2 linked regions of the Saccharomyces cerevisiae S288C genome follow. Changing the gene in region 2 together with the main gene of any one other region gives a genetic interaction. Each region holds a gene or a part of one and is shown on either strand. Other genes may lie near its edges.

The links.
Region 1: mutations in RGC1 (region 2) and PAU12 together harm fitness more than expected from each alone (negative genetic interaction), as found in Saccharomyces cerevisiae (2 studies listed by BioGRID).

What each region holds. Positions count from the first base shown.
Region 1 is NC_001139.9:1,071,095-1,086,320, reverse strand, and holds PAU12 (seripauperin PAU12), read right to left. Parts: upstream 6,016-15,226; coding exon 5,653-6,015; downstream 1-5,652. Other genes in the region: YRF1-3 (Y' element ATP-dependent helicase protein 1 copy 3), read right to left, coding at 1-1,290, 1,439-1,457; COS6 (Cos6p), read left to right, coding at 3,592-4,737; alpha-glucosidase MAL12, read right to left, coding at 7,968-9,722; MAL11 (alpha-glucoside permease), read left to right, coding at 10,508-12,358; transcription factor MAL13, read right to left, coding at 14,607-15,226.
Region 2 is NC_001148.4:753,325-771,057, reverse strand, and holds RGC1 (Rgc1p), read right to left. Parts: upstream 16,182-17,733; coding exon 12,930-16,181; downstream 1-12,929. Other genes in the region: S-methyl-5-thioribose-1-phosphate isomerase MRI1, read right to left, coding at 2,071-3,306; HOB2 (Hob2p), read right to left, coding at 3,564-11,033; RRG8 (Rrg8p), read right to left, coding at 11,577-12,410; ALE2 (Ale2p), read right to left, coding at 16,810-17,733. UniProt on the Saccharomyces cerevisiae protein: Positive regulator of FPS1 glycerol channel required for the glycerol efflux.

The sequences.
Region 1 (15,226 bases), on a different chromosome or scaffold from region 2:
CCTTCAGCGCGGTTTCCTGCGCTACTTCGTGGTACAGAATTTTGATCCATTTCCACATCGCAACGCCGTTGTTGTCATCAAATATATCTAAATCCCTTGCGGTACAAGCACAAGACGACACCAATAAAGCTTTCACGGCATCTAGTGTTTTTCTGAGTCTTCGTGGAGTGTTAGGACTGCGCAACTTACATACTTTCAAGCCATGCTCGTCCACAGAGGGAATAATGGGTTCTTCATTCGTAATGGATCGATCCTCTTCGTCACCAGCGCCACCACGGGGACCCGCCCCGAAATTGAGCGCACATGCTCGCAAGATAATATGCAAAATATCACCCAATCGGTCCTTTTTGTTCATCATATCGTTACATATCTGTGAAAAGTACTTTATCTCAGTGGGTTTACGTGGGCATAGATCACGCTTCAGCCGCTCTGTGTCGACTTTCTTTTCGCCAGGTAAACTTGCTTGGTATGCAGAAAAAATCGATAGCTCATCTACGTGTAGTAACAAAAACATGTAGGGTGCCAAATTGTATCCATATTTCCTTATGGTGCTTTTCTGAAGACCCCTTACAATAGGTGTGCCAGAAACAAAGTCAGTGAAAGTACGCATCGTAGAGCTGTCGTTCGGCCTGGCACTCGCTATTTCGTAACAACGTTCCAGGACACGGAAACTCAACTCATTATAGTATCCTCTGTTGAGGTAAAAAAGAGAAAGGGTATCGTAATCCTTTCTATTGAATTTCAAAGTATGCACTTGAAACAACGTGTAGACCATCAAGTTGATTTTCTTGGGAATAAGATACTTTGAAGGGATTGGTCCGCCCTGGAAATCTGGTTCGTCTTCAACAAACGTCAGGAACTTTTGTACATTTTTCCCGACCATGACGGAAACGACAATTTTTTCAAAAGACCTTTTCCTATCCATTGCACCAGTTCTGAATTTTACCACTTTGATTAGACCAGACTTTTCGTCTTCGTAGAATGACCGCACTTCCGTGGGGATCGATTCAAATAAAGTTATTGAGGGACAATGTACCAAGTCGTTTTTGTTATTTAGAGCCGACTCAAACTCGTCAAAGTTTGCTTTTTCAAACTTACGCCTATCGGAAACTTTCATTTTATTTTTGTAAGTTTCGAAATTAACAATAGTATGTTGATTGTTATGCTTTTTGACAAGAAATCCATCAATATAAACAAAAGATTGTCCAGTTTCCGTCTTATCATCATCTAAGAATGTAATAATTAAGCTATTGAGAAGATGCAGAATCTGCGCTATGCAGGTGCAAATCTCTAGCAGCAGCAAAGTAAATTCAGTTAGTAAGAAATCTCACTAAGATAAGCGACTGTCTGTCCCCTTCAAGCACAACATAGAAAGCAGAAGGATGTCTCATTCATCGCTTGATTTCCGGCCTGCAAAAATAAAGTAGTCGGTACGTACGTTCGTTTTCAATTTCCATGGTGCACAGTATCTTAACTATCTGCTTAGTCGAGGAGAACCAGGATTCTGTTCGTTGCTCAGCCGCTTCGTGGATATTCTCTTGGATACTTTAAATATGGACCTACGCTTAGCCTGCGCTTAGCCTACAACTTCTTCCGCTCTCGAAAAGACCAATATAATAGAAAGTTATAAATTACATTTCCTTATTAGGTATACGACCTCGCGCTTCGAAGTAGAGGAGCCCTTTTTGGCGTACCTACATATGGCGCGTCAGACAGACAAACTTCCCCCAAAAATGTATTACCCCGCCGAATAAGAAAACAGACCCATTCACCCACGACGTATCAAGTTACTTCCTTGGTGCAATGTCCCACTATAAAAAAATTCCTTGACGCTAGATCGTTGGACTAAAATCTGCGTCACAATCGCCTAAACAGGAAATATTGCCTATTTTCGTACAAGGTTACTTCCTAGATGCTATATGTCCCTACGGCCTTGTCTAACACCATCCAGCATGCAATACAGTGACATATATATGATTTAACCTGTCTCTCAACTTACCCTCCATTACCCTACCTCCCCACAAGTTACCCTGTCTCATTCAACTATACCACACCCCAACCACCATCCATCTCTCTACTTACTACCACTCACCCACATCCACCACCTGTTACCCTCCAATTGCCCATATTCAACTCCACTACCACTTACCCTGCCATTACCCTACCATGCCCCATCTTGTTACTCACTATACTGTTGTTCTACCCAACATATTGAAATGTTAACAAATGATCGTAAATAATACACACATACTTACCCTGCCACTCTAATCCCACCACCACATGCCACACTCACCCTCACTTGTATACTGATACGGCATACGCACACGGATGCTACAGTATATACCATCTCAAGTTACCCTACTCTCACACTCCACTCCATGGCCCATTCTCACTAAATCAGTACTAGATGCACTCACATCATTATGCACGGCGCTTGCCTCAGCGTTCTATACCCTGTGCCATTTACCCATAAATCCCATGATTATCCACATTTTAATATCTATATCTCATTCGGCGGCCCCAAATATTGTATAAATGCCCTTAATACATATGTTGTACCACTTTTGCACCATATACTAACCACTCAATTTATATGCACTTATGTCAATATTACATAAAAATATCATCAAAATCACCTAAACATAAAAATATTCTACTTTTCAACAATAATACATAAACACACTCAATTGCGTATCTATACCACCATGACGTCATTAACTTAAATGTTCCTTAATATCGTCATACCATTATGATCTATTCAATATATTGTAATATAACTGCACTCTATAGTCATACAGATACTTTTACTTCACCCTATCTTCTCATACTATTGTCATAGAATCTCATACTGACACATGATTAAAACGAATAACTTTTACTATAAGGCCTGCCATCCGCGCTCTATCCTTTTGTTTGAAATATTTATATACAGAATCTCAAAACAAGCGGGAGAAGTAGTAATTACCCAGAGGTCATGCATGATCTTAGCACCACCGTACCTCTATGTTTTGCTTTGATCCGCTTTACAGTGACACCAAACATAAGGAGGGAAAATGGTATTGAAATGATGTTGAAAGGTTGTTCACATTCGCAAGTAAATTGGTTCTATGAATCTTCATGTAAGATACTCGTAGGACAGGCTCTTTCCTGTGTAAATATTTGTGACAGCTACATCTAATTTCTATTAGATATTTACACAGTTTTGTCACAGGCATTCCATGTGATAATGAAATTCTCGAGCCATATGGCGGTTGTTGTAAAAGTAGTGACATTGCTGGTCGCACCTTAAATGTAAACCAAAGTTACGGCACACTCTCACAGTACCCGCACTAAAGTTTTATAAAAGTACTATTACGATTATCGAGTGAGCTAGATAGAAAATCGGAAATGAAATGGATGCCCTTTTCGAATAGTAAAGTTTCTGTGCCTAAAATAGCTCAACATTGTTGCCCTTTTTCTATCCCGAGGTTACTGAGCCATTGCATGAACGCGCGCGCCTCGACGGCTTTTTTTTCTGCTATATAAAAGCGAAAAGCCAGAAGTTATTATTTTGAATAAAAAACCCCTCGAACTGCCATCTCACTACCGAAAATGAAAGAGAATGAACTTAAAAATGAGAAGAGTGTAGATGTATTATCCGTCAAACAGCTCGAATCCCAAAAGACTGTTCTACCTCAAGATCTTTTCAGAAGCAGCTTTACCTGGTTTTGTTATGAAATTTACAAGTCCTTAGTGTTTCGCATCTGGATGCTATTATGGCTACCACTTAGCGTCTGGTGGAAACTTTCCAACAATTGGATTTACCCGCTTATGGTTTCACTTCTTGTCCTGTTTTGGGGACCAGTATTTGTTCTTGTTATTTTTAGACTTTCTCGTAAACGTTCCTTATCGAAACAACTCACTCAGTTTTGCAAAGAGATTACTAAAAACACACCAAGTTCGGATCCTCATGATTGGGAAGTCGTTGCAGCAAATCTAAATTCGTACTTCTATGAAAATAAGGCTTGGAATACCAAGTACTTTTTTTTCAGTGCCATGAGCTGCCAAGAAGCATTCAGAACAACCCTTCTCGAACCCTTCTCTTTGAAAAAAGACGAAGCTGCCAAGGTTAAGTCATTTAAGGATTCCGTCCCTTACATTGAAGAAGCATTGGAAGTTTATTTTACAGAAGTTGAAAAACAATGGAAGTTGTTTAATTCTGAGAAATCATGGAGCCCTGTTGGCCTGGAAGATGCTAAACTTCCCAAGGAAGCTTACCGATTTAAGCTTACCTGGGTTCTCAAAAGGATTTTCAACCGGCGGTGTTTACCACTCTTCCTTTTTTATTTGCATAATGTCTTCATTTCACGAAATGATGGCACTATAGCACGTCCCTTGTTTCTTGTGGTGCTGTTTTTTATCATGACGAGAGATTTCCGGAATATGAGGATGATCGTTTTATCCGTGAAAATGGAACACAAGATGCAGTTTTTATCGACTATTATAAATGAGCAAGAAAGTGGTGCAAATGGATGGGACGAAATTGCAAAGAAAATGAATAGGTACTTGTTTGAGAAAAAAGTCTGGAAGAATGAAGAGTTTTTCTTTGACGGGATTGACTGTGAATGGTTTTTTAGCCACTTCTTCTACCGCGTTCTCTCTGCAAAGAAATCTATGCGGGCTCTATCATTGAATGTGGAACTATGGCCATATATTAAAGAAGCGCAATTATCCTGCAGTGAGGAGTCCTTAGCGTAAAGATAAATACAACTTTTTCAATTTATATATTTTGTAGTTTGTCAGCTGCGAATAACCAAAACGAGACTACTTTTTACCATTACAACCATTTTCTTTTTCCCTATTTCTCACTGGTTGACAGAAATCAGTGTGCCACCATCCTACCATATGCGCAAAACTTATTGTCTTTCTCCTCCCAGTGATGCTATATTCCATGCATATTCTGAACGATGGGTTGGTGCTTTTATCAAGCAAGGTTAATCACATGGCGTGGCTTGCTCCACGCATCAGTAGAAAACGCATACCGCAGCGGAATCCTTAAATAATAAGTGATTTTACTGTACATCGACTAGAATCGGACTCTTTCACAAATTACCCTTCTTATTTTCCACATTTATTGTTAATCAAGGGATATACAAAAGCTTATGAAAGCCTTTACCGAACACTAAATAGAAACCCTCCTGCCACGAAAAACTTCAAGATCGATAACTTTAATCTTAAAAATTTGACACATTTGAAGGCGACGACTCCGGGCCGATCGATGCCCTGAAAAAAAAAAAAAAAATAAAGGCGACCTCGTTTAAGGTGAATATGGAAGAAAATGGTTATATAATTGCTTGAACATTTGTCGTTATATATTAACAATAGCATCAACCGGTTTACTAGCAAGTGATCCTAAAATATGATTTTTTCAACATAGATATTGATGACCCATGTCGTTGAAGTGGACACACATCGAAGAATACCACAAAAGGAAGAGAGGATTCTTGTCCTTGCTCCGCCAAGTTGTTCATAAATATCACGATTGACCAGTAGTAACAATATTAATATACACTTACATATAATGAACTATTTATACTATCAAAAAAAAAAAGCTTTTTTTATTTTCGTTATTTCTTAAGGTTTATGGAATTTCGTTCGTAAAGGCGTTTGTCTCTAGTTTGCGATAGTGTAGATACCGTCCTTGGATAGAGCACTGGAGATGGCTGGCTTTAATCTGCTGGAGTACCATGGAACACCGGTGATCATTCTGGTCACTTGGTCTGGGGCAATACCAGTCAACATGGTGGTGAAGTCACCGTAGTTGAAAACGGCTTCAGCGATTTCAACTGGGTAGGTTTCAGTTGGATGAGCGGCTTGGAAAGAGTAGTATTGGGCCAAGTGAGCTCTGATATCAGAGACGTAGACACCCAATTCAACCAAGTTGACTCTTTCGTCAGATTGAGCTAGAGTGGTGGTTGCGGAAGCAGTAGCAGCGATGGCGGCAACACCAGCAGCGATTGAAGTTAGTTTGACCATTGTATTTGTTTTGTTTTTTAGTGCTGATGTAAGCTTAACAAGAAATAGTGAAATGAAAGCGCATACCTCAAAGATGGATAGCTACAGCAGCTCTATTTATATGAATGTCTTGCCAACTTCCCTGGCACAAACGAGTTATCATCTGGCACCCATCTCTCACCTAAAATGCCTCAGTGTACAATGTTCATCCCACATTCATTATTCATATTATTACGGTGCTTCTGTACTTGAACGATGCGTCTTTCATAGGTCCCGTATACGAGGCGCACGCTTCATAGTGCCTATACCTTTTTATTGCATTTCCAAGGCACAAGAATGTTTTCTCACAGTGTACATACTTCCGAAGAATCCCTTTAGGGTGCCTTCAGAGATGCAGCTGCAGCTTTTGGCCAAGAAAAAGCTAAAACCAAATTTGCTTTGAACCCTCGTTCAGAGGCCATCTAATCTTTGTGCGCTAAACGGTTGCTACGGGAAAATTGTAGATTCTGTTTTTCTTAAAATAGAAAGTGAAAGACTTATCGAATACCGGAGTCGTATATTGTAGGTGTCTACAGTCTTATACACTGCCAGCAAAAATGTTGACAAGAATAAATGAGCATTCGAGGTGCTACGAAGCTCTAGTTCTGAAACAGCGGAACTTCCACTGGACAAAGCTGACCATAGCGGAAACTATACCGGAAATTGATAAGTTAACATCTTAATAAGTATTGTATAATTTTTTTTGTAATACTAATAATCGGAGAACAGCATCAGCGCTTCGTATGGTAGGCAACGGTTGCCGCCTAGGTCTACGTTTTTCTATTCATTATATGGTACATGAAGGAGACAAAAAGTGGCGGATTACATACAGAACTTCTATCCTATGGATGTACCTGCAGTCTTTCTGTTTGGATGAAATTGATAGAGGGCTTAGTGTTACTAATACAGAAATCCTTTAAGCCTTTTTCTCCCTTTTATTCACTGTTTCAATATGTCTATCATTCTGGTCATGTGTTTTTCTTCGAGGAATTTACAACTATTACAGCGATAAGTAATCATACGTATCCAGATTATAGGCCCGTTGCTGAAGAATTACTACACTTCTCTGGTATATAGTTATAGCTCAATAACTAATGGTATAGGAGACACAGATTTTAGTAGTCAAACTTCTCAAAGGATAAGACCGTCATTCCACCTCTCATCTTCACTTCATTGGCTTTTAGATATTGATTGTGGGGTGTTAATGTTGTGGAGTTACTGAAGTAGCAAGAATCTTATGCGCTTATTTTCTTTTGCTTAATAACACTGTCTAAAGCAGAGGAATTATGGACAGATGATTGGTTTAGTTCATCTGAAGGCTAGACAATAAAAGGCGGGTTCGGAAGGGGGTAGGCATGCTCAGACTTGACGTAAACGCATAAGCCGGCAATGTTGAATCGATTTTGTAACTCGCCTGAGTGTTACGTGAGATTACATATAGGATCGAACTATCACGAAATCAATTACGCTGTGTTATTGAATCATAAAATCACAGAGCTTCCCGAGAAAACGCTAAATTATGTGTCAAGTACTGCGGACATCTCTTAACGCTATCTTATATTCATTTCACTTTTTATATCTAGTCCTTTTCTTTTCTTTATTAAATAAAACTACCACCTTGTATGATTCTTAGCAAGACATTTCAGCATTAATACCAGCACAGGTTTCTTCTCCCTTGTTTTCATCCGAAGAGAAAGGATAGTGCTTCTTATGCCTCATTAATAATTTGGAATTCACATTTATATACACGCTAAATATCATAATGAACGAGGGTCATGTAGAAAAACACATTTACCCATAATGGTGAAACAAATTATCAACAGTGCTTTTACGCTATCATCATTTACATATAAAAAATTTATCTAACAAAAATCATGTGAAAAATCATGTGTTATTTCGTTAAAGTACGCGCTAAAAAAAAGCCGGCACTAATTTTATTTGACGAGGTAGATTCTACCTTCCCATGGTTTCAAAACTCTGGAGGAAACGTCAGTATCATCATAATTTCCAAGAATAAAAGATAAAGAAGCACCTTCTCTTGGGAGGCTGAATTCAATTTCTTCGCCACTGAAATTTAAAGCAGCAAACAGCGTCTTGTCTTCGTACTCTTTAGTGAAGCTAAAGATCTGGTCACTGTCTAAATCAATGAATTGGAAATCGTAACCATAAATCATAAGTTCCTTATATTTCTTTCTGGCTTGCAAGGCCCTTTTCCAAAAATTGAGAACTGAGTCATCATCTCTGGATTCCTGCTCAACATTGATTCCTTGCTCGAAAGATTCATTCAAGAGAAACCAAGGTTTAACATCTGGGCCAGTAAATCCAGCATTGGGCTTATCTTTCGTCCATGGCATGGGAGTTCTCGAATGATCTCTAGAAAGTAGGGCGATTCCTTTAAAAAAATCCTTCATTTCCTTCGAGTTTTTACCAAAACTTTTTTTGATAATCTCGTAGTTGTTTTTCACATCAACGTCCTCATACTTTTCAATAGGCCATTCCTTGAAATTGATCTGGCCTATCTCCTGACCTTGATAGACATACAACGTACCTGTCAATGAACATTCTAGCAATGTTAACAGCTTACCAGATATTTTACGGTACTTTGGCGAATCGTCAGCAAATCTCGTAATTGACCGGGCTTGATCGTGATTCTCGATGTAGGTGGTAGCCCAACTATCAGTACCGTTAATGAACAAAAAGTTCGATGCAATGGCTTCTTTCCATTGTTTCAAGGTGAAGGGCACTATGTTATAACGGAAAAATGGCGAGGTACCAACTTCAACGTGCGTGAAGGAGAAAACTTCGCTGACTTCGTATCTAGCTGCACTGGTGTATAAAGCATTATCACTTCCATGGGCAACTTCACCGACTGTCATTATTTCTCTACCATCTTTCACCCTGTTTTTCATAAATCTGTGTAGTTCTTGATGATATTCATGAATCCTAGGACCATTGTGAGACCCCCAATTTGGATGTTGTAATTTCGAGGTTTTGTCAAAAATTGGGGAATCTGGTAAACCAGGACGTTTCGAATACAAACCAGCGGTATCGATTCTAAAACCATCTACACCATGGTCCAGCCAAAATCCAACAGCACTTTCAAAGATTGCCCTTCTGCAGTCTTCATTCTCCCAATTCAAGTCAACTTGACGACTCGCAAACAAACGGAGGTAAAATTCATTTGTAGTTTCATCAAAAGTCCAAGCTGAACCACCAAAGAAAGATTTCCAATTGTTTGGAGGAATTGGCTTGCCTTCGGCGTCATAACCCTTAGGAGGTCTCCAGAAGAACCAGTCACGCTTCGGATTGGTCTTCGAGGATCTGCTCTCTTTGAACCATTCGTGTTCTGTAGAACAGTGGTTGATAACCAAATCGGTGATGAATTTCATACCCAGCTTATGAGTCTTGTCAATTAGCTCAAAACAGTCCTCATTGGTACCATATGTGGGCCAGACCTTTTCGTAGTTGGATATATCATACCCCATATCTTGTTGAGGAGAGTCATAAAACGGACAAACCCAAATAGCATCAACGCCAAGATCTTTAATATACTGCAACTTGGAAGTGATACCTTTTAAATCACCCCAGCCATCGTTATTGGAGTCTTTAAAACTTGCTGGGTAAATTTGATAGATTGTGGCCTCTTTCCACCACTTTGGTTCTGTTTCTGGATGATCAGAAATAGTCATTTATGTAATTTAGTTACGCTTGACTGATGTACATTTGAGATTATCAAAAAAACTGCTTAAGAGATGGATGATTTAATTTTTTAGAGACGTATTAATGGAACTTTTTATACCTTGCCCAGAGCGCCTCAAGAAAATGATGCTGCAAGAAGAATTGAGGAAGGAACTATTCATCTTACGTTGTTTGTATCATCCCACGATCCAAATCATGTTACCTACGTTAGGTACGCTAGGAACTAAAAAAAGAAAAGAAAAGTATGCGTTATCACTCTTCGAGCCAATTCTTAATTGTGTGGGGTCCGCGAAAATTTCCGGATAAATCCTGTAAACTTTAACTTAAACCCCGTGTTTAGCGAAATTTTCAACGAAGCGCGCAATAAGGAGAAATATTATCTAAAAGCGAGAGTTTAAGCGAGTTGCAAGAATCTCTACGGTACAGATGCAACTTACTATAGCCAAGGTCTATTCGTATTACTATGGCAGCGAAAGGAGCTTTAAGGTTTTAATTACCCCATAGCCATAGATTCTACTCGGTCTATCTATCATGTAACACTCCGTTGATGCGTACTAGAAAATGACAACGTACCGGGCTTGAGGGACATACAGAGACAATTACAGTAATCAAGAGTGTACCCAACTTTAACGAACTCAGTAAAAAATAAGGAATGTCGACATCTTAATTTTTTATATAAAGCGGTTTGGTATTGATTGTTTGAAGAATTTTCGGGTTGGTGTTTCTTTCTGATGCTACATAGAAGAACATCAAACAACTAAAAAAATAGTATAATATGAAAAATATCATTTCATTGGTAAGCAAGAAGAAGGCTGCCTCAAAAAATGAGGATAAAAACATTTCTGAGTCTTCAAGAGATATTGTAAACCAACAGGAGGTTTTCAATACTGAAGATTTTGAAGAAGGGAAAAAGGATAGTGCCTTTGAGCTAGACCACTTAGAGTTCACCACCAATTCAGCCCAGTTAGGAGATTCTGACGAAGATAACGAGAATGTGATTAATGAGATGAACGCTACTGATGATGCAAATGAAGCTAACAGCGAGGAAAAAAGCATGACTTTGAAGCAGGCGTTGCTAAAATATCCAAAAGCAGCCCTGTGGTCCATATTAGTGTCTACTACCCTGGTTATGGAAGGTTATGATACCGCACTACTGAGCGCACTGTATGCCCTGCCAGTTTTTCAGAGAAAATTCGGTACTTTGAACGGGGAGGGTTCTTACGAAATTACTTCCCAATGGCAGATTGGTTTAAACATGTGTGTCCTTTGTGGTGAGATGATTGGTTTGCAAATCACGACTTATATGGTTGAATTTATGGGGAATCGTTATACGATGATTACAGCACTTGGTTTGTTAACTGCTTATATCTTTATCCTCTACTACTGTAAAAGTTTAGCTATGATTGCTGTGGGACAAATTCTCTCAGCTATACCATGGGGTTGTTTCCAAAGTTTGGCTGTTACTTATGCTTCGGAAGTTTGCCCTTTAGCATTAAGATATTACATGACCAGTTACTCCAACATTTGTTGGTTATTTGGTCAAATCTTCGCCTCTGGTATTATGAAAAACTCACAAGAGAATTTAGGGAACTCCGACTTGGGCTATAAATTGCCATTTGCTTTACAATGGATTTGGCCTGCTCCTTTAATGATCGGTATCTTTTTCGCTCCTGAGTCGCCCTGGTGGTTGGTGAGAAAGGATAGGGTCGCTGAGGCAAGAAAATCTTTAAGCAGAATTTTGAGTGGTAAAGGCGCCGAGAAGGACATTCAAGTTGATCTTACTTTAAAGCAGATTGAATTGACTATTGAAAAAGAAAGACTTTTAGCATCTAAATCAGGATCATTCTTTAATTGTTTCAAGGGAGTTAATGGAAGAAGAACGAGACTTGCATGTTTAACTTGGGTAGCTCAAAATAGTAGCGGTGCCGTTTTACTTGGTTACTCGACATATTTTTTTGAAAGAGCAGGTATGGCCACCGACAAGGCGTTTACTTTTTCTCTAATTCAGTACTGTCTTGGGTTAGCGGGTACACTTTGCTCCTGGGTAATATCTGGCCGTGTTGGTAGATGGACAATACTGACCTATGGTCTTGCATTTCAAATGGTCTGCTTATTTATTATTGGTGGAATGGGTTTTGGTTCTGGAAGCAGCGCTAGTAATGGTGCCGGTGGTTTATTGCTGGCTTTATCATTCTTTTACAATGCTGGTATCGGTGCAGTTGTTTACTGTATCGTTGCTGAAATTCCATCAGCGGAGTTGAGAACTAAGACTATAGTGCTGGCCCGTATTTGCTACAATCTCATGGCCGTTATTAACGCTATATTAACGCCCTATATGCTAAACGTGAGCGATTGGAACTGGGGTGCCAAAACTGGTCTATACTGGGGTGGTTTCACAGCAGTCACTTTAGCTTGGGTCATCATCGATCTGCCTGAGACAACTGGTAGAACCTTCAGTGAAATTAATGAACTTTTCAACCAAGGGGTTCCTGCCAGAAAATTTGCATCTACTGTGGTTGATCCATTCGGAAAGGGAAAAACTCAACATGATTCGCTAGCTGATGAGAGTATCAGTCAGTCCTCAAGCATAAAACAGCGAGAATTAAATGCAGCTGATAAATGTTAAGTAAAAGGGTTGTTTTTTTTTTTTTGGAAGAAATAAGGAATCCCTTTGACTGCTCCCAAAACCCTCAGCTAGCTCGAGATTTTATATATATACATTTTTTATTTTTCTGTAAAACATTCATATTTACCATTTTTTAAGCAAAATATTGTTAGTAGTTAGTTAAAATAGCCCAAGCAGCAATCAAGCAAATATGAGAGTACTTTTTCTTTAGCACCTGGTACTTGTGCCTGGATATTGATTCGAACAACATGCCAGGTCAACCGTATTCTCAATTAACTGTTACTTTAAATGTCCATACACTTAATAAAAAGAAGGAGAGAATCACGCAAAAATCACATTAAACTATATTATAATGTTTTATGAAGTATTTTTGAAGCATTAATGTGAGAGCTTATAGAGATACGACATTCATAATTCAATGCTTTATTGGGATATACTATGCATATTCTATATGGTTCATGAAATATCTCAAAACATATCACATAGTTTCACAATCGCTTGGCAAATAATTTTCCAATTCTGAGGATATAAACAACCATTTCAAAGAATTATTCTTTCTTGGTGACATGAAAATAATAATAAATTGCATTTGATATACAAAAGCGATTAGTAAAAAAAATCAAACCCATGTGGTCGTCATCCTCACAAACAATTAGGTAAATTTCGTGTTAGCAGTATGTGGTGAAGGTGTTCTAATTAGAAATTGTGATTCAAAAATCTATCACTTTGAATTTGAATATAATGGAATTGTTTTATAAATATTACCTAATTAGCCGCCACTGATATGGCTTCTTTGATCTATTTTTCAGTATAAAGTCAAACAAGATTTCAAAAAACCGGAGGAAGAATATGGGAAATCTACTAGTGTACAAGTTCGTCAAGTTTTCAATGGTCTGACAGTCCTCGTCTGCCTTGCGAGAGGTTATAAAGTCGTTAGTCTTCATGTGGCGTATTACTTTTCTTCAGTAGATATTGTTATTATTACTAAGAATAGAGATATATATTGCATTATTGTGAAAAACATCGCTTCTTTTCTAATTTCCCCGCGTCAAGGGCTACGTGTTTTCTGTGAGATGTAAACCATATATCTAAAACAAGTATCATCGCGCTTCTTTTATTTGTAGTATTTTTTCTTCGGTTTTCACTGAGGAGCCTGCCCAAGGCGAGGTGCAGTGTTCTTTCTACGGACTTTTTAGGAAGGAAATGAATTAAGCTACGCAGAAAGGACATCTCTTTTCCAAAGTTCTAGACATTTCAGCCTTCATAGTTCCTAGAGATATGTCCGTATCTAGTAACTATTATAGTTAAATTTAGATCGGATTCTTTTAATGTTATGTTCTGCCATAAAAATGTTGCTTTAAATGGCAAACATAAATGACAATAATATCTTGCCTCCTAAAATTAACTGGCATTTATCTATCTTCTCTGTATTGAATAAGCGAATGGTGATTCACTCAAATATCCAAATCCCAGAGGTAGCAACATGGTAGCAAAAAGTACCGCCCCTTTCTTATCAATGCTGAATACACCATTTCTAAGTAATATTATCAACAAACCATAGCACTTATCTGCACTCAGCTGTTGTATTTCACTTGTTCCTCTGCCCTTCAACTAGTGCTCCATTATAACGGTCGAGCAATACTTCATATCATTCATTTGAGCGTCAGTGCTGACGAAAGTATGATTTCATTAGCTACAATGTGGAAATATAATACTTCTCAAACACTGAAAAATTTCAAAACTTTATTATACAGTTCTTCAACAATAGTATGAGGTAATTACATGGCACTAAGTGCTTCAACGCGCTGTATATAAAGTCATCTTGATTATGCTAATTAAATCACAAAAGCGAAAGGATGAGAGTGAAAGTATCCATATTGCAGCTAGCCTATTCAAGCTAAACTTGTCTCCCATCAGTACACAATCATCTCATCCAATCTGGCTCTTAGCACTCAGTAAAAAAGTGTATATATACTGAAAACTGTTAGTATAGGAATTCTGGGAAGAATGCTAACGTTAGCGTGCCTAAAAGTATTTTATTAAATATAATTTTCAATAGGGAGACATCATGGTAAGAAGCAGTCTTATACTTGTAAAAGTAGACCTCCAAATAGAAAATTAATTACTCTGTTCATGAAAATGGGTCGCAATTAGCAGTGAATTTTACCCTTGTGTTGCGGAAACACAGTTTCTACAATGGAAAGCTATCACTTACCAGGAAGTTGAGATGCACAAAAATGAAAATTAATCAAGGGTCTATGTCTTCATTATCCTTGGGATAACCATCCAATTGTAAAGGTTTAGAAATGGGCAGAGTAATTAGGGCATTCTGGCATTTGGTGGAAAATCTCTTCAGCATATCATTGTTATAGTGGTTTAAAGAAAAAGCAAATTTGCATACATCATGCAAAACATTCCATGCTTCTAATTTCATGTTATGATCATACTGGCCTACAATGTCCACCAAAGCAGTAGCTATTTCTAATGTTTTCACTGGTACCCCGGGACCATGGACATCGTAAAGATTCTCTGGGGTTAAGTAAGTGTCTATTAACATATCTCTCGCAATTTCTATTGGTATTTGCCCATTGTTAGCGTTCAATGAAAAGTTGCTACCCCTCATTTGATAAGCTAGCTTCCATGCTAGTATCCTAATCCAATGCCGGGAAAATGAGATGTCTATGTAACCGTTAGACCATGGCTCTATTTCCGAGGAAGTTGTGTGGAGTTCGTTCCATATCTTTTTCAATGACTCTTCAGTGCAAGAAGCATCTGTAGAGTCAGCGGCTAAAGCATCGAAGAAACATTTTCCTGGTACAGTAAATACCCTAATCATTTCAAGGAAACTGTCCATAGAAAGCTGAGGAT
Region 2 (17,733 bases):
GCTAGCTGTAACGAGTTTGCTATTTCCTCGAGGGACAGGCACCGAAGTTCATCCATATCGCGAACTTCGTTGTTGACCTTTTCCTGATTCGGTCGCTATATTTACAAATCTCCTTTTTTGATTAGTGCCTTGAACTTGCACTTTCCTAAACGGGCTCAATATGTAAACATATTATACAAATAGTTACCCGCATTTGGAATAAAATCTGTCTTTTGGCGGCTATTTCCGCGTGTTTGATTAGAAGGAGTAGTGGTCATTCTAATAATTCCACTGTGCTAATGCACTCGCACTTAATTTTTAAACTTCCGATGCATCAACACTAATGATCATAGCATAAAACGCGTAGAAGGCGATCTTAAGTTTGAGTCCCCCTAAGGCACCTTAGTAGACGGTCAAGAACAGGGTGTGAATATGGGCGATATTCAAGCGAGATTAGGACTTATAAAACAACAACAACAGGGATAACAAAACACTTGACCCCTATTTTTGTAATAAAACCGTTTTCAAGGTAAGGCAGTTAGTAATTTATGTACAACAGAAATTTCTGCCATTTCTTTCACGACAATAACGTAGGATAAGGCCATGAAAAACAAAAATACTAAAGTGCTTATCTAATAAAAGGAAAGGATTAAGCAGTTCCTGCCCATATTTTGGAAAGGCCGTAGCTTAGTTTCCCTGAAATTTACTTCAAGAAAGGTCTGCTTAGCAGTCACATATGTCAATTGTGGGCTGTTTAGTCAAAACCACTTGGAGGTTGATGAATTGATAGTATTTTGGTAAATGAACTAAATATACATTATCAATAAGACGTTGGAGGGGCTTTCTGTATAAATTCACCGAACACTCCCAAATTATGATAAACTTGCTTAAGCATCTTTTCGAAATGCAGTGCATGTGTTAAGTGACAAGCTAAAGGTAAGACATTACGATAATACTCTGTATAGATCGTAGTAACATGAATTATGAAGCATATAAAAATAATATGAAATGTTCATCGAATTTAATAAGTATAAATGCATGAAGATAATAATTCAATAAGATAGATAAACAAAAACGCATGAAGAGAACTTGTAGAACAATAAGCATATATCACCACTCCACTTTTTCTGAAAATTGTGTAGAAATGTAAATTCTGTGATGTTCGTTATGATTCAGTTTCTGTTTCTCAATCTCTATGTCATACTCTTACGCTATATGATAACACACTAGTAGTAGGAAAACTGGTCAAGAGATGATTGTTGTTTCTTTTCCCAACTCATACACCCCAAACAAATGCCTTTATCAAAATCCGATCTCAACACTTATCTTAGTTTACACATTTATCAAATAAGGTTGGCAATGTACCTTTTTCGGAAGGTAAACATCAAATATTTATAGAAATATTTATTAAGGACGCTCTGTTGTATTACGGGCTCGAGTAATACCGGAGTGTCTTGACAATCCTAATATAAACAGTCTTAGGGAAGTAACCAGTTGTTAAAACAGTTTATCAGATTAATTCACGGAATGTTACTTATCTTATATACTATATAAAATATGAATCATACTAAGTGGTGGAAACGCGGAATCTCGGATCTAAACTAATTGTTCAGGCATTTATACTTTTGGGTAGTTCAGCTAGGGAAGGACGGGTTTTGTCTCATGTTGTTCGTTTTGTTATAAGGTTGTTTCATATGTGTTTTATGAACGTTCAGGATGACGTATTGTCATACTGACATATCTCATTTTGAGATACAACACGCTCCGAAGAACTCATCCTTGTTAGCTCAGTTGGTAGAGCGTTCGGCTTTTAAGCGCATTTGCTTAAGCAAGGATACCGAAATGTCAGGGGTTCGAGCCCCCTATGAGGAGTTCTTTACTTTTTTGCACGTTTTACAAATATGCAGAAACAAAGACAATACATATTGTATCAGTTGGTTATAGTGTTTTGGACTTACAAGGTTCTGACAATATACATTAATGTGTTCCTTTTATTGAATGAAAAAAAAAAATAATTCTTACATCTCAATATGAAATTTTATCCTTTACAGTACAAAAGTAATTATTTCGAGAGTCTAATTAGAATGATATCTAGAAAAGGCTTTCCAGTTGAAATTCACCACTGGAATTTTTGGTAAATACACCTTCTTCTGTGATAATTCCGTCAATAAGCTCATGTGGAGTAATGTCGAAGGCTGGATTCCAGACATTGATTTCAAGAGGGGCAATACCGACCTTTCCAGTGATTGGCTCTCCTGACTCATTCAATATCAAGGAACCATTTTCAGGATTAATTACTGTACCAGTAACAACCTTGAATTCCTCAGGGTTACGTTCTTCCACAATAATGTCATCGCCAGTTTCGGTTACATTATCGATAGTTGTTTTGGGAGCTACTACAAAAAACTTAATTCCGAACTGCTTACAAATTACAGCAAGTTGTAAAGTACCAATTTTATTTGCTGTATCCCCATTACGAACAATTCTATCAGCTCCAACAAATGCTGCTTTGATTGGAATTGGACTAGTTCTAATTCTATACGCGATGGAACTATCAGTAATTAAAGTTGATGGAATCTTATCATAAACTAGCTCGTATGCTGTTAGCCTTGACCCTTGATTATAAGGTCTAGTTTCCAGTGGGAAGACATGGCCCATCCTCGGGCATTTTTCATTGTCCAATCCCGAGTCTGCCTTGTCGGTTTTAGCAAGTGAATCCTTCCACAAAGAACGGATAACACCTAAAGCCGTGCCATATCCAGAGGTTGCTAAGGATCCAGTATTACAAATCGTCAGAACGGCAAATTCGTCCTTGAAACCGTCCTTTTGTAACACGTCAATCAAATACTTAGCTCCATTATCACCCATTTTCATGTTATTCGCCAAATCCTCATCTATCAATTCACAGACGTAATTATATAAACTACCGTCAAAAGCCTTTAGGTCACTTGAGGATTTCAGTATGTTCTTTATCTCTACAAGAGAATTTGATAAATTAACGGCTGTGGGTCTACTACTCAAAAGGAAATCTAGCCTCTTATTTAGCACTGTTTTTGTAGATTCCCAGTTAACTAAAGAATACAGCGTAGCAACATCAGAAGTTGGGTTGTGTTTTATTAATTGTACCTCAGTCAAAACAGATAACGAACCCACAATTGCAATTGCCGGGGCACCTCTCACCTGCATACTTTTGATGACTGAGTACCCATCATCAATTGTGTGAATTGGAACGTATTTAGTAGTATATGGTAAAAGTAATTGATCAAGTACCTTTACCGAAACATTTTCTGGCTCCGATCTATCAAAGACGATGGCTTCCAACGACATTTTTTGTCAGCAGTTTGATAGATCACTTTGTCGGTCGTAGATATTGCTCTTAATCTTTTTATTCTAGCATGCTAAATTGATGAATGGGGAATACTTTGGCCGTGCGCCCCATCATCTCATCTTAGTAAGTGAAAAACCGGAAAAACTAACGCCAAGAAGGCCTGTAAAAAAAAAATCTTACTGATTTTCATTTTAGTATATAATACAATTACTATATAACTGAAGAATATTTACGCTAGACACATGTGTGTGTTTCCTCATTTATTTTTTGAAAACTCACTCGTAACAGGGTAAAATGGCTTTACTCCATTTCCATCATTTTCATTATACGTTTCATCTGAGTTTATTGATCTGATATCTGAAGAGTGCGTGGAGCTATAAAATGAATTATGCCCTTCGACTTCAAGGATATGTGAATTATCACGATTTTGAGAATCTGGACTTAGTAATCGATGTATTTCCATAGAAGTTTTTTTCTTATTCTCTTTTTTATGAGGCAAAAATTTGTTACCAATAATATTTCCCAAATGTTGTAAAACTATTCTTACGACGTCTCTTTTCAAAGCAGTAAAAAATTCTTCCCTCGACCACAGTTTGTTATGGTACTTTAAAACAGGGACTCTAACAATCAGGTTATTAACATCGGTCAAAAGGCTGTGTGAACCCTTATAACACACGGACATTAGAGTTTTTCGGATTATAATAGATTTTACATTGAAAAATGTCCCTGATCTTTTGACCATTTCATTGATGTTATAATCAGGTTGCACAAAAAGTGATGCTGACAATTTTCTATGATCACCCTTATGCTTTTTGATACCTTCTTTGCTCTGGATACTACGCAAGTCCCAAGAGTCAACGTCTTTCGCATCGTACACAGATAAAGAACCGTTAGAAAGACTGTGCCGTAAAACTGGAGACGATGAAAAGAAGGAACTAGTGGAAGAACGTGGTACAAGTTCTGGAGAATTGGGTTCTATGGAAGTTTGTTCTATCTTTGGAAATAGATAATTCATTAGTTTTTCCGATGTTTTGTGATCCATCTTGAAAATCAATGGCTGTAGAGAAACAATCAAATCTTGCAGATCTGAAATACCTCCAACTGATGGCCCCAGGATCCAAAAAATTTCTACCATTGGCGCGTTCTTATTATAGGATGAATTTTCATAAAAGGGGGCCAGCAATTCAGTGTAAACGGGATTTTCTTGCTGGTTGAAACATTGTAAGGAAGAAATGGATACTTTATTACTATTAGTGCCATCGGAAGTTTCTGAACGAATAAATGTAGAGGGCCCCAATCCGATAGTCACGAAAGGAGTTTTACTCTCATCGTACAATTCCCATATCAATTCATCTGTTCCAACTTGCCACCTCAATCTTTTCTGTATTACTCTATTACCACTCCCCATCCGGTCGTAAGTTTTCTTGATTGCCGTCATAAGTAACGTCAACTTCAACGTACTAGTTTGAATATCGAAGGTTAGCTCTTGTCCTGATTTCATAAACAATCTTGGCTCGTGAAGTTTGAGGTATGCTCGCGTATAATAGAGTTCCTTTATTCTTTCTTGTAATGCTGTGACAACAGAGACATCAAGATTTTCCAGGTTATTTCTGACCTCATCAGTAAATAATATCCTGGAAAGTTTCTCAACTTTTTCATCCAATGATGATCCAAAGGAAAGTAAATCTTCTGCGATTGCATATACAGCGCAGTATTGTTGACAGTCCGAGGTCAGAACCAATCCTGGAAATGCAATACGAAATCTCGAATCATAAGAGAATGCAGACGTATCATTTGCACTAAAAAATAGGGGATTGGGAGCGACGTAGGTCAAAAACATTGATCTCCGTTTTAGAAAAACATGCTTATCTAATAAAGACCCGTCAAAGCACATTTCAAGAGGAATCCATGGGGGCCATATATCTGACTCTTTGTCGGAACCATATCCATTTTTATGGAAAAATCTACCTTCAGGACCCTCTAAATCCTTTTTGAACAATGTAAACAACTGAATGTCCTTTGAAACAGCGGAATAGCGAGTTTCAACAATAGTATCGACGTCAACGGGAATTCTTTTTCCTGATTTTCCATACACTTGAACTATATCAATTATTCCCATTTCTATATCCCTAGCAGCTAAAATAACTGCTGCGTTCCTTTCAACGTCCGATTTGATCTGAACCTGAGGGGAGATTAGTCTAAAAAGATAATTATCAACATAATCAAAGTCATCACTCGGAACTTCTCTGATGAGTTTCTCAAAGTGCTCAATAAATTCTGAATTACTGGCTAAATCGTCCTCAAGTATTGAACCATAATCTTCTACAGATGTTCTGACCCCAGTCAACACATTTCCCAGTAATTCTTTTAAAATAGTTACGGATTTATAAGTCACAGCAAACCTCATAGATTTCCTTTCGAAAGCACTGGAAGCGTATTCCAAAAGGTGATGCCTGATTTTATTATCGATTTTTAACTCGATATTATGGACCATGAAACGGTTATCATAGGTGGACTCAACCTGCATAGTAGAGGCTTTTCTCATTGATACAAAAGACTCCACGGTATTGGTCCTCAATAGCGATATTCTATTTTGAATTGGCGGTGCATTTTCCAAATTTACATCAGTATCGGAGAGTGAGCTGGAGCTATCACCATCAGTATTTCCTCCAGGAATAGTCTCCGAGATTTTTAAATCGCTCAAGATGGTGTTGACTGTGTGCAATCTGTGGTTTAATTCAGCTACCTCTGCTTTTAATTCGCGTGCATAGCGCTCCGAATTTCCACTTACCGAACCTCCGCCTTTGTTCGATTGCAATTCGCTTAACGTAATATGTAATAATTTTAGTTGTTCTTCTATTTCTCGTTTTCTTTCAGTTGCTAATTTCTCCTGCGTCAATTCTGGATGATTCTTGCCAATCAGACAATTGTGAGATTCTTCGGTACCAAATGGGTAAGCTAGTACGTAACCATCATCATTTATTTTTCTAAAGTAGGATATTCTAGGAGAGTATAGCAATGGTATTGCTTCTAATTTTAATGGAAGTGAGGAACCAAGCGGCACTTGATTCAAGTCTATATAATCCTCATAATCATACCAATCTGATTCACGCAAGTATTCCACATCTTGAGGCGTAATAGGACGTGATGGCTCGTCTTCAAGTATGCCATCGAGTCCAGAAGTAAGAATTTCCTTAACTGCTTCCTGATCAAACAGAGTTGATAATATCCTAATATCTGCTTCTGCACAATCAATCTCACCCCTAGACATCTTAAACTTCCATACAGGTTTTGACTTATTTAATTTTTGGTTCGTATGGGTCAGTTTAACTCTTTTTTGATGCAAATCAATTTTCAGTGAATCAAACCTCCCTTTCAATCCAGTAAAAGTTATTTTGCGGTCTTTTTCAAGATCATATTGAGTAGTAATATGCCGATAAATATGCGTAACCATTAGCCGTTTTAAATGTAGCTGATAAGCTATTGTAAATAATGAGCGACCAAACTTTGTCTTGTTTTGAAGTACATCCGTAAATAACCGTCCTTGCCTAATAGGACCAGATGTATATGTATGAAATAAATTCCACCACTTAAAGAAATGTGTTAAAGCGTAAGGTGCGAGATAGAGACTATTTATGGATCCGTGCTCAGAAGAATAGACACCAAATGACATGTGGATAAAAGATGTTCTAAATCCTTTGTATGTATCATGGTGATCCAAATCTGCGACTCCATCTGGATTCATCAGCTGTATTTCATAATGTGGCCTATTTGGAAGGAACCTCTCTTCGTCACCAGCCTTAGATATATCGCCTTGTTCAAAAAGTAAACCTAATGTCCAAATTACTCTTCCATCGAGCTTCATAAAGACTTTATCAAATTTACTAACTTTGGCAAAGTCTGGCACTGCCAACTGAAACCTTTGGGATTCAATTTTTAAAAACTCTTTAGGATCCGTGGAGTTATGAACGTAAATTGTGGTGCCACCAGACCAGCAGAACGCCAGACCCGCACCATCATCTGTAATCTTATAAGGATCATGTGAACCTTTAATATTTAAGTGGATCTCACTTTCCTCTGAAAACTCGTATATCCACTTCCCATGCACTAAATATCTGAATTTGTCCCAAAATCCTAGCTTTTTGGACGGATCGATGAGAGGTTTGGTTAAAAAATCAAACCAAAGCATCAAAGACTCATAACCGGGTTGCAGAGATTTCCCCCATGTTATTCTGGCAGATGAAGAAGATGTAACCATTGACCTAATATTGAAATATGTTTTGACTGAATTAATTGTACGAATGATGTGCAAACCATATATTGTATTGGCGTCATTATAGGGGCTTCTTTGGGCAGAGCTGACAAAAGGAACATAAACAGTATGAAGCGCGCAAGGTGCTGGCATCTTTTCAGCAAATACAACATCACCTGTTGTAAATGTGTCGGGAAATGATATAGCAGGTATTGGATAATCTCTCAGACGCAACTCCCATAACGCGCTTTTGATTTTGAGGCCAAGAATAATTAGCAAAGTGTACTCCGTAGATTTTGGAACTTTTTTTCCATACTGGTAAACAAAATCCATATAATTGTCTAAAGGGAAGGAAGGACTGCCTAGTTTAAAATCCAAATCTTTTACGACGAGGTTAGCAACAGTACTGGTTTTCTGTCTAGTAAACAAGTGGTATTTCGTACCAAGCTCTTCACGGCTGATAACCCGATAAGGCATACCATAAAAAGAAAGTTTTGCTTTCCTGTATCTGGCAATCCATGACGTTGAAAAGTTTTCTAACAACCTGAGATAGGCCTTTTGCTCATATTCTTGATCATTCGCATAAAACTCTGGGAAAAAACTTTGTCCACGGGAGGTATCATAGAGCGACCTTAAACGTACATTCATGTCCTCATATGTTGATAGCTTTTCCTTGAACTCTTCAAGCTTCTTTAACCTCTCACGTTGTTCCAAAACACCAACTTTCAAAATTAATCCTAACTCCTGCTCAAAAGGATCTTCTTCAATATCAATTAGAAAATCCTGGCAACAAATATGTAAATTTGGAACTTTTTTCGGAAACTGTTGCTGAGGGTATAATCGCTTAAATTCATTCAAATTGGAAAATGCCAATTTAATTTGCTTAAACGATTTATACAACGTGACTATGTTATCCGTTATCATGTAAAATCTAAAATGATATTCGGCATGAAAATGAATCAATGAGGTGTTTATAACAGCGGATTTCTTGCAGATCAACTCTTCAGTGTCTAGCTCAAAGTCATTAATATTTAGCAAGGAAACATAAACCTTAATATGCTTCACATAAACCGATACCACGTACGCTGACAAAGATGCAATTGTAAGATTTTTAGTGGAACTTGAAAGTCCAATCCTCTCGAATATTAGGAGTACCTCTGTATTATGAGGAAGCGTTAGCTCTATAATCATCTTTCCTATATCTACTCTTAATCTATCGAGAACATTGACAGATTTTACACTGCTCACTGAATTTCGGCTCAATTTTGAATTAGGACGAAATTTTATCCATATACTCCGAATATAAAACCACAACCAGATAATATTTACATCCATCTTAAATTTAATCTTGGGAAGTGAAAAATGAATTTCATCTGAGTCGTTAAAACTCAATAACAAATTGGTAAATTGAATAATAACCTCAGGAGAGGGCTTATACGTAGTGCCATCCATGAAACGATATACGGATGCATCAATAATAGTGAAGTTTTTCTCCTGGCTGTCCGCTAACAATATTGATTCTGTAAAAACAACTTTGGCGCCTCTAGTTACGTCAGATAAGTTAAAATTCTCAGCTTCCACAGGATCCAAATTTTTCGGAAGAAACCCAGCGACCAGTAACGAACATGAAATATCCTTCATTCTAAGTTTCAATGACCAGTTAAATGTTTTCTTGGCTTCATTTAGGTCCCCCAATTTTCCACCATTCGCTTTATGAGCCGCATTCCTTTTTGTTCTGCTAGATATTAGCAAGTAAATTTTGTCAAAGGCGCGACTTAAAGTATGCAAAACTTCAATGTTCTCAAGACTAACGTACGAATGTCTTAGTGTAGACTGAACGATCAATTTAGAATTTGAAAATTCATCCAGAAATGTGTCTAATCTTTCAAAGCCACAGACTGGTATAGACACTGGGTTAGCGTCCTGCTCTGTTGGAATTCTCAGGTAAGAGAGTGATGTACCCACAATTTTAATATAGTTAGATAATTGATCAGATACTAGGGCTGTCTTCGCAAATGGCCAATCCGGACGTATTTGCATTACTTGTCCCTTTTTAGGAGTCATAGACAAGTTGTTACGGCTAAAGAGAGCATGTGTGCTGAAGACCTTAAACGTCACATTCTCCTCATCTGATATATGCAGCCTTGAAATAAAATTCGACATTAGTAGTTCAAAGTTAAAACTGGGCAATCGATCAATATCTAAATCTAAAATATTTAATGATCTGTCGTTTGTGTTAGTACATGATGAGGTCTCAGGGCTATCGAATTTGTCCACTAAATGAAGAACTTCCAGTACTTGATGTATAGTGAGGAATACTGAAGGATTTATAATGTTCAAAATGGAAGATACCTTCGTTCTCCGTAAAGGTACATTGTCAAGTAAAAATAGTAAAATATCTGACGTCAGTATGACATTTCCAAATGGAATTCTAACTGCTGTATTACCATCGATATCTACTACAACAGCATTTGCAGAAAGTGATAGTTCAAAATCGCCCCATGTGGGCTTATTTAAGGGTAAAAGTTCCAAAGCGGAGACATTATTTAGAATGGAGATTGATTCCAAGTAAAGTTGAGCACTTGATATGCGAATTGTAAACTTTTTTTTGTAAATCAACTTTACATTTTCTACCTTAAGGTCCAGAATGTTCAAAGTTTTCAGTGGGTAGTGAAAAGGCTTTAGCATCTTACGATATGAAGTGAGCATTTCCGCATCATCACCAGCAGAAAAAGGCTCAACAGGCTCCGAATGCAAATTCTTCCCTTTCTTCTCTGGAAGATGCCAACAAACATCACTTATTTTGAGACTTGATTTCCAATTTTTTAGTATAACTTTTGTGCAGTTGCTGCCTGTATCATCTTCCTTTCCAATTTTACAGACCATAAAAAAACCAGTATGGTTCAAAGTATCTTTCGTTTCAGGATGGGTAAAATCATGCAAAAATGCCTCTAACTTTATGGTATCATCGTGTGGGTGTGATATCGTTATGGATCCGATATTTAATTTATATTGTTTTCCATTAGGCACTGTAAGAGCTAAAGTATGAAAGAAAGTGGAAAATGAGAACACAAGTTTCAAAATTGATAGGACTCGCCTGTTAATTACAAAGGTAAAAGTTTGATCCCGCGGATTGAAATATGTTCTGGAGTCTTTAGTTGAATGTGCAGTGATATGGCTGTCCTTCCCAAATAACTTCAAATCAACATTATGAAACACAATTCCGGGTTTCCAACCTATTCGCAAGGTTATCTTGCCAATATATATTTGAGCAAAATCAGTTAAGATAAACGCTCGTCTTATTGACGTACCAAAAAAGTATCCAAATGAAATTTTTCGTATTGTGGAATGGCGCAGCATCAATATCCATGACATGAGAATACTAGCGATTTTCTGAATTGATATAATAAAAAGCATAAAGCCTAATAATAGTTTAGACACATCCCTTATTTGAGACCACGGTAACATAGACATTGTAGATTTTTTTTCTTGCAATAAACAGGATACTCCAGCTACTAGATATTATGGATGACAAGCCTACTCGAGAAATTGATCAGCAAAACTAAATTGAATGCTTAGCTTTTAAATGTAAGCCTTTTCGTGGGAAAAAGTGTATGATTTAGTTTTCAAAGAAGTACCTTCTATAATGGTAAATTATTGGTTGTGCTCTTGAATATAATGCATGTGTATGCCCTTGAAGTTTTTAATACAAAGCCACTAGTGCAAACAAATCAACAAATCTATTTACCCTTAATGTTCCTCTTTATCAATCATACAGCCTTGCAGATGGATGGTAAGTGATGGACTATAGAACACCTCAGAGATATTTTACGTAGATGTGCGGGATTAAGGGTTCTGAATTCTCCTGCCCGAGGCGCCCAAATTTTTCATTTTCGGATTGCAAAATGATGCCATTCGCTGACAGCCAGTTTTGTATTCATTGAATAAGAATAATGGCAAATTCAGAGAGACAATTCCAGCGATATATCCCGCTTTCCTTCCTTTTTTCTTCCGCAATCAGTTAACTGAATGAAACAATAATGTACTATAAAGGTGTTTGATGAGATCCTTGTCATTGTCGGCATCCAGGTAAATTCCATTAGTAACTGCATCTTTACTCACGATAGCTTCTAGAGTTGGCTCGTGGAGATAACCAAGGTTAAAGACAGACTGTGTAATTGGTAGCCCTTTACCATGACTAACTACTTGTATTTCAATCGGGGGTGTTTTTCTCTTGTCACAAATGAGTAAAACACGATTTATCGAAGAAGGTCCAACATTCGGTATCACTGAAAGTCTTGCTTTTATAAATGCGTGCAAGTTAGCATTGTATTCCGTTATAAATGTAGAGGAATCAACTTCTAGGCTCTTTGGAGTTGATGTTTGCAATACCGAGATTGGGAACCATGACGTCGCAGCCGCCAAGTTGTCTTGTACAATGGAGGCTGAATTCAATACGTACGAGCTTTTGTATGATTTGGAATAATCTAGTGTAGGTACCAGTTTTAGTTTATCTTTATCAGCATGCTGATCTTTGCCAGTTGATGGTACCACTTTCAATGGAATTAGTAATTCTCTACACGATTTTAATTTTGAGATTTTTTCTGCTCTCATTGGAGAAGCTAAAAGCCTACCATATAAGTTATTTTTTAAATTGAAATTTTCCAAATGGAACTGCCCCACCATTTCCTCTTCATCTTTGAAATAGAGCTTCTTGCGCTTATCCGACCATTTCTCGAAGTTTGTAATGAGCGGAGAAACATCTTTGACTCGTTGGGCACAGTTTTTATTAATGACTCTCGTTGGACAATCTATGAGTAACTTCTTATATGCCGATTTAGGTAAACCCATATTTGATTTTGAGAGGTTCCCAGGAGAATTCACAACAAAATATTATTCGAAGGCTCCTATCGTCATCATGTACCGTGGCGCATTGCCAACCTGTCTTATAGAAAGGCCGATGTCGTAAGCGGACCGGAAAACTGGAGATGAACAGGCATTGCCAATCCTACCGCCACTGTAAAAAACAAGTAAGAAAAAGATAATTATGGACGCTGGCTTTCATTTTAAAATAACATCAAGTTCAGATGATACTTCTGAAAAATACCCAATCAGGAATCTATTTTTATTTGGTAGAAGACTACTTTGTTTACTTATAAAAACATGATAACTATCTAAGAATATATGAACTGATTGCGTTTAACTTAACTTTTCCATTTTGTCTTAATCTTCTTCGTTTCCGGTAGTTAATGGGTTTGTATTTTCAGCAGGAACATGACCCAGGACTTTCTTGTTGCTTATTACACTTATCAAGGAACCAAATGACATGCTCTTCATCTGTGCAGTCTTATTGGACAGGTTTTCATAGTGTCACTTACTTGACGCGGATGTAGCAGGTACAGTATTAGTACTTCCCTCCTTGCGCGAGTGAAGAGACTTATCATTCGATACAGTAGATGTTAGTGGGACGTTTTCCGCACTATATGTCTTTTTCAAACTGCTATAAGGAGCTTCAACACCTTTAGATGTAAGCGGTTCCTTCAACGTTAGACGTGATTGTGAGGCGCCCTTCTCATTGCCGTAGATCAATCGTGAGTCATTACCTTCTTTCCTTGGACCACATTGATGGGGAATATGACAAGCTGAACTTTTGCGAGAGCCACTGCAGTTTTGAGTTCTGTTTTCCTCGAACAATGGAGACTCCATCTCAAAAGGTGAAAGATCTGACCCTCGTCTTGCTTCCGAATTGCAATTCAATGGTATTCCAAAATATCCGTTTGCATTACCATCCAATGCTAGACAACTGGGTGAAACACCTGGTAAGTTCATTAATGGCGAAGGATAAAAATCAACCCGTTGGTTGTGAATGGATGCAACACTGGAGGCACGAGACGATTTATGACTACTATCTGAATACGCGCTTGCCGGAATAATGGCTTCATCCCCATGATTACTAACAGCTATTTGAGGTACCTCTCCGGGAGCCGATGCTTTTCGCGAAGAGGATGCCATTAAGTTATCTGCTGACCGGTTGTAAAGCATACCTTCCCCAGTATAAGGTGAATAAGGCGATTTGCAAGGGGTTCTAATTGTGTAACTCATACCATTTTGTGGAGCACTGTTTTTCGTTTCTCCCACTATGGCCAGATTACCATTTTCATCAATGGCTGGTGTATTGACTTTTGACCTGTATACGGAATTCATAGCGCCTGCATTCATATTTGCGCTTTTTGGGATGTCTATATAACGAGGACGATTTGCCCTCTTCCTAGTGTTTAACGTGGTAACAGAGGAAGATGGCGTTACTTTTTCAGAAAGGTTAACAAAACTGTCTACTGGAGTGATATATGTACTGTTTTTGGACCTTTGAGAGCTCTTTCCATTATTATGGTTTCTACTTTTCAGAATCTTTTCTTCAATGAAGTTCGACCTCTCCTGAGTAGAATTGAAACTTGTAAGCGCTTTTATGTCCTGAACCCATTTCTTGAAATTTTTTGATTCCTCTGGAGTTGGTTCAAGACTTGCGGAAAATATTTTAAACGTCCATTCAACGCGCTTCTCGCAAATTGACTTCTTATTGATGTTAGCTTCTTCTTTAGCCTTTTTTTGTTCCTTGGGCACGGAAGAACTCTTTAGAAATTTCGGAACGGACACCATCGAGAGAGCTGAAGGCGTACGTTGATGTTTGCCCTTATTTGAAGCAAGCGTCTTTGTTGGACATGCCAAATCTGAGGTCGTGCTTGATTCTTTTGTACATGTGTCCTCTGGTGAATGATAACTAGCATACCCTTGTAAAACAAAAGTTGAGTCAGTACTATCCTTTAATGAGCAATCATTTAAAGACAAACTAGAGATAGGATATAGATTCGAAGAACTCAAACCCTTTCTTCTCTTCGTCAGTTTCGGATCCTGTGTCCCTTTGCTCGATGGGTGACTGCCAGCGTTAGTCCCATCCTTATTCACACGGCTAATGTCTGATTGTTCAACAACAGGTTTATTTTTTGAACGGGGAGACTTGCTGTCTAGAAAGAAATCGCTGCTTTTGAATTCGTGAAGATAATTTGTAGTCAACACAAAATAACCTTTAGTAAAACTTTTAGAAGACTCTGTTTTCTTCAGTAGATATCCTACTCTAATGCATTTGGCCAGCGGCGATTTCATGTTAGGATAAACAATATCAGATAATCTTCTGGGTTGCGGTGGCGGGTCTGTCGATTTTAAATTCATCAGACAGGTAGGATGATGAGAGACAAAATTATCCCACTCTACAGCCGGTGGTCTAGATAGAATACCTTGCTGCAATTCATGGCACAAATTTTTGATCATTAATCGTGCTTCTGAATCAATTAACGCTGAGTAGCGCTGTAATGCGGATTGAATTTTAGAATATACTATTTTCTCCAGTTGTAGTGCTGCTGATTGTAAATTCAGAAAAGCTTCTCGAAGATAGTTTTCTTCGAGTAATTGTCTTTTCAGCTGCAAATCTAGTTGTAATTTCAAAAGGTATGGATCGTGTTTTGGTTTTAATTTTTCACCTTGCTTATCGCCCGAAGTGGATGCTTCATCTAATAACTTCACTGAAGCAATATATTTATTCAGAAGCCTGCTTGTTATTTTGATATGCTCGCCTATGTTAGTCTTGAAATCTCCATTTAATTCTTTAATTTCTTTCATCTTTGTGGTCAAATCCTTACGCAAGTCGGTCAATTTGGGTATAATATATGCCAAGATTTCCTTAGAGATCTTATATTGTTGACTACCCAAAGATAAATGGTACTTCTTCAAAATCACTTGAATATCTTGAATGGATCCTGACCCAAATTTCATGAAGCCAGAAGAAGCTGAAGCTACCTCTTCCGAAGGTACTGATTGGATTGACTGCGGCTGTTCCACATCTGTGTCGTACTTGCTGTCCAATTTTTGAGCGGCCAATGGGACAGGCTGAGGTTTCTTAGTAGGCAACTTAGATATACTTGGATCAACCAGTTTGTTTGTTTCATCTTCCAAATCAGTAAGAAAAGCAAATTTTACGGCATTTTTCATCTGGTAGTTGATCCTTGCAATTTGTTCCTGAGAGTAGGCAGCTTCTCTGAAGTAAGCGATCAAACTTTTCAAGATTTTCTTCCATTTGTGAAACCTATCAATCAAAATATCTGTCGGATACTCTCTAACAAACTCCCCGGAAGTTTCGTAAATGTTCTCCACATCTAAATCAGAAGGATCAGCCCTGTTAACCTTTTGTTTAGCCCTCGCCTTACCTTCACTCTTCGGCAATTTTTTAGGTATAGGCATGTTAATATAGTAGGGTGACCTTGGGTCTGTCTTGGGTAATATATACTCGTCAAGTTTTATGTCCTTATTCTCTTTGCCATCTGGCCCGTTCATTTGCGTATTTCCAGATGCTGGCTCATTTTTCAGCGTCAATGAATCAGGAATCATATCCATCAAGTACTGGGAGTCGGCGGAATACATAGATGCCAGTTCATCGCTACTACCACCAAATGAACGATAGTTCTTCGGTAACTCCAAATTTCTAGAAGAGCTCCGAGTTGAACCTGGTGTCGCAGGCTGCTTCGAGATACCGCCATTCTCCTGCTTAGGAAACGTGAAATAGTCAGACATCTATTAATCCACTTAATTATCTCTTGTTTTTCTTCTTTTAGCACACAAAGCCATAAAAAGTAGACTAGGATAAAGAAAACAGCTTTCTTTATGATTCTTCTCTCTTTACCTGTACCGCGCCGTATTTGGCTCAATTAACCACTCTCAAACCTTAACAAAAAAATCACAAAAGCTTCCGAAAGAATACCCAATAAGCCACAGCTACTTGGACATCAATCACGGTCAAACCAACATCATCCTCTATGTAGGAGGCTTTTCGCCTTTTTATTAAGCAATGGAAAATCAGCTTGCGCGAGAACGGCGTTATCCGCATATGAAACACCTCCCCCTAAATCTCGTGATTAGAGTTTCACGTTTCATCACATGAAAGTGTGGTAGTATAGTATAATTCTGGCAAAAGTAGCATTGAAAGTGTTCAGTAGTCCTGAAGGTGGCAGAATCGCTCAGTCTAGGTAAAATTAAAGAAGAAAATGTAGGCAAAGATCCTGCCCCCCCCCCACAAAAATTCGCCATGTATCAATATTGATTTATTGCCTGTAATTTTCTAGGTTTGTAATGCTCGCATAGCTTACACAAGTTTATAGTCTATATACACATATATGCACATGTTAAAGTGTGCCTCCATGGATTATTGTTCATTCTTAGTGACTTTGTCTACAGACTCCCCCTTCTTCAAGACCTTTGCAGCCACAGACACCATGGTAGAAAACCAAATAACATTCAAGATGTCCAGGACGAAATTGCCTGCAAGGATAACAATGGTGTCAAAGACTAAGAAACCAGGTTCATTGCGCACCTGGTAAAAGTCGTAACATAGTTTTCCAATTTGAAACCACCCCCAGGCGATTCTAGCGGCAAAGAAGACGACCATGAGCGTCAAATTGTTCAACAGCAGCAGTAGAGAGCAGAATTTGCTTTTCTGGGGTAGAAATTTGATACCGAACCATCTAAAGTTCAAGGAGGGATTGGAAAGTTCGAACATCAAGAACACTGGGGCGTAATATTGGATGTACGGTTTCAATCCGATGCAAAACACGACGGTGGAGATTATTCCGTGCACAACGAAGGGGAAAGTAGAATACATGGTGGAAATATAGATATCCCAGACGAAATAACCAATAGCAAAAATACAGATGACTTGAGTGTCTCGATTTTCTGTAAACACTCGAGAGTGTGAGGTTTGGTAGGGCTCGGCCGAGGCTTTTGGATCAAGCAAGAACTTCAATGAGTAGTACAGGACCACTATGCTTTGCAGTAGGGATATTAAGTGGACTGAACTTTGATTGATCAAAGAAGTGTACTTCTTTTTGTAATGTTGAGCTTGACGTTCCGAAGTTGTCTTCTCATCTTTCTTGACGTTATGTTTTTGGTCATAGTCCAATTTCCATTTAACCAAATGTGGGAATAAGATCCATTTGCCAAAAAGAAACCAAATATGGTAGAATATAGCAACATAAAAAATTGAGTGCAAGTTGGAGAGAATCGCTTCCGACTTGATTATATTGCGATTTGCCAAGAACGGAATCACCGTGGTCTTAAATAATTCCGGTTG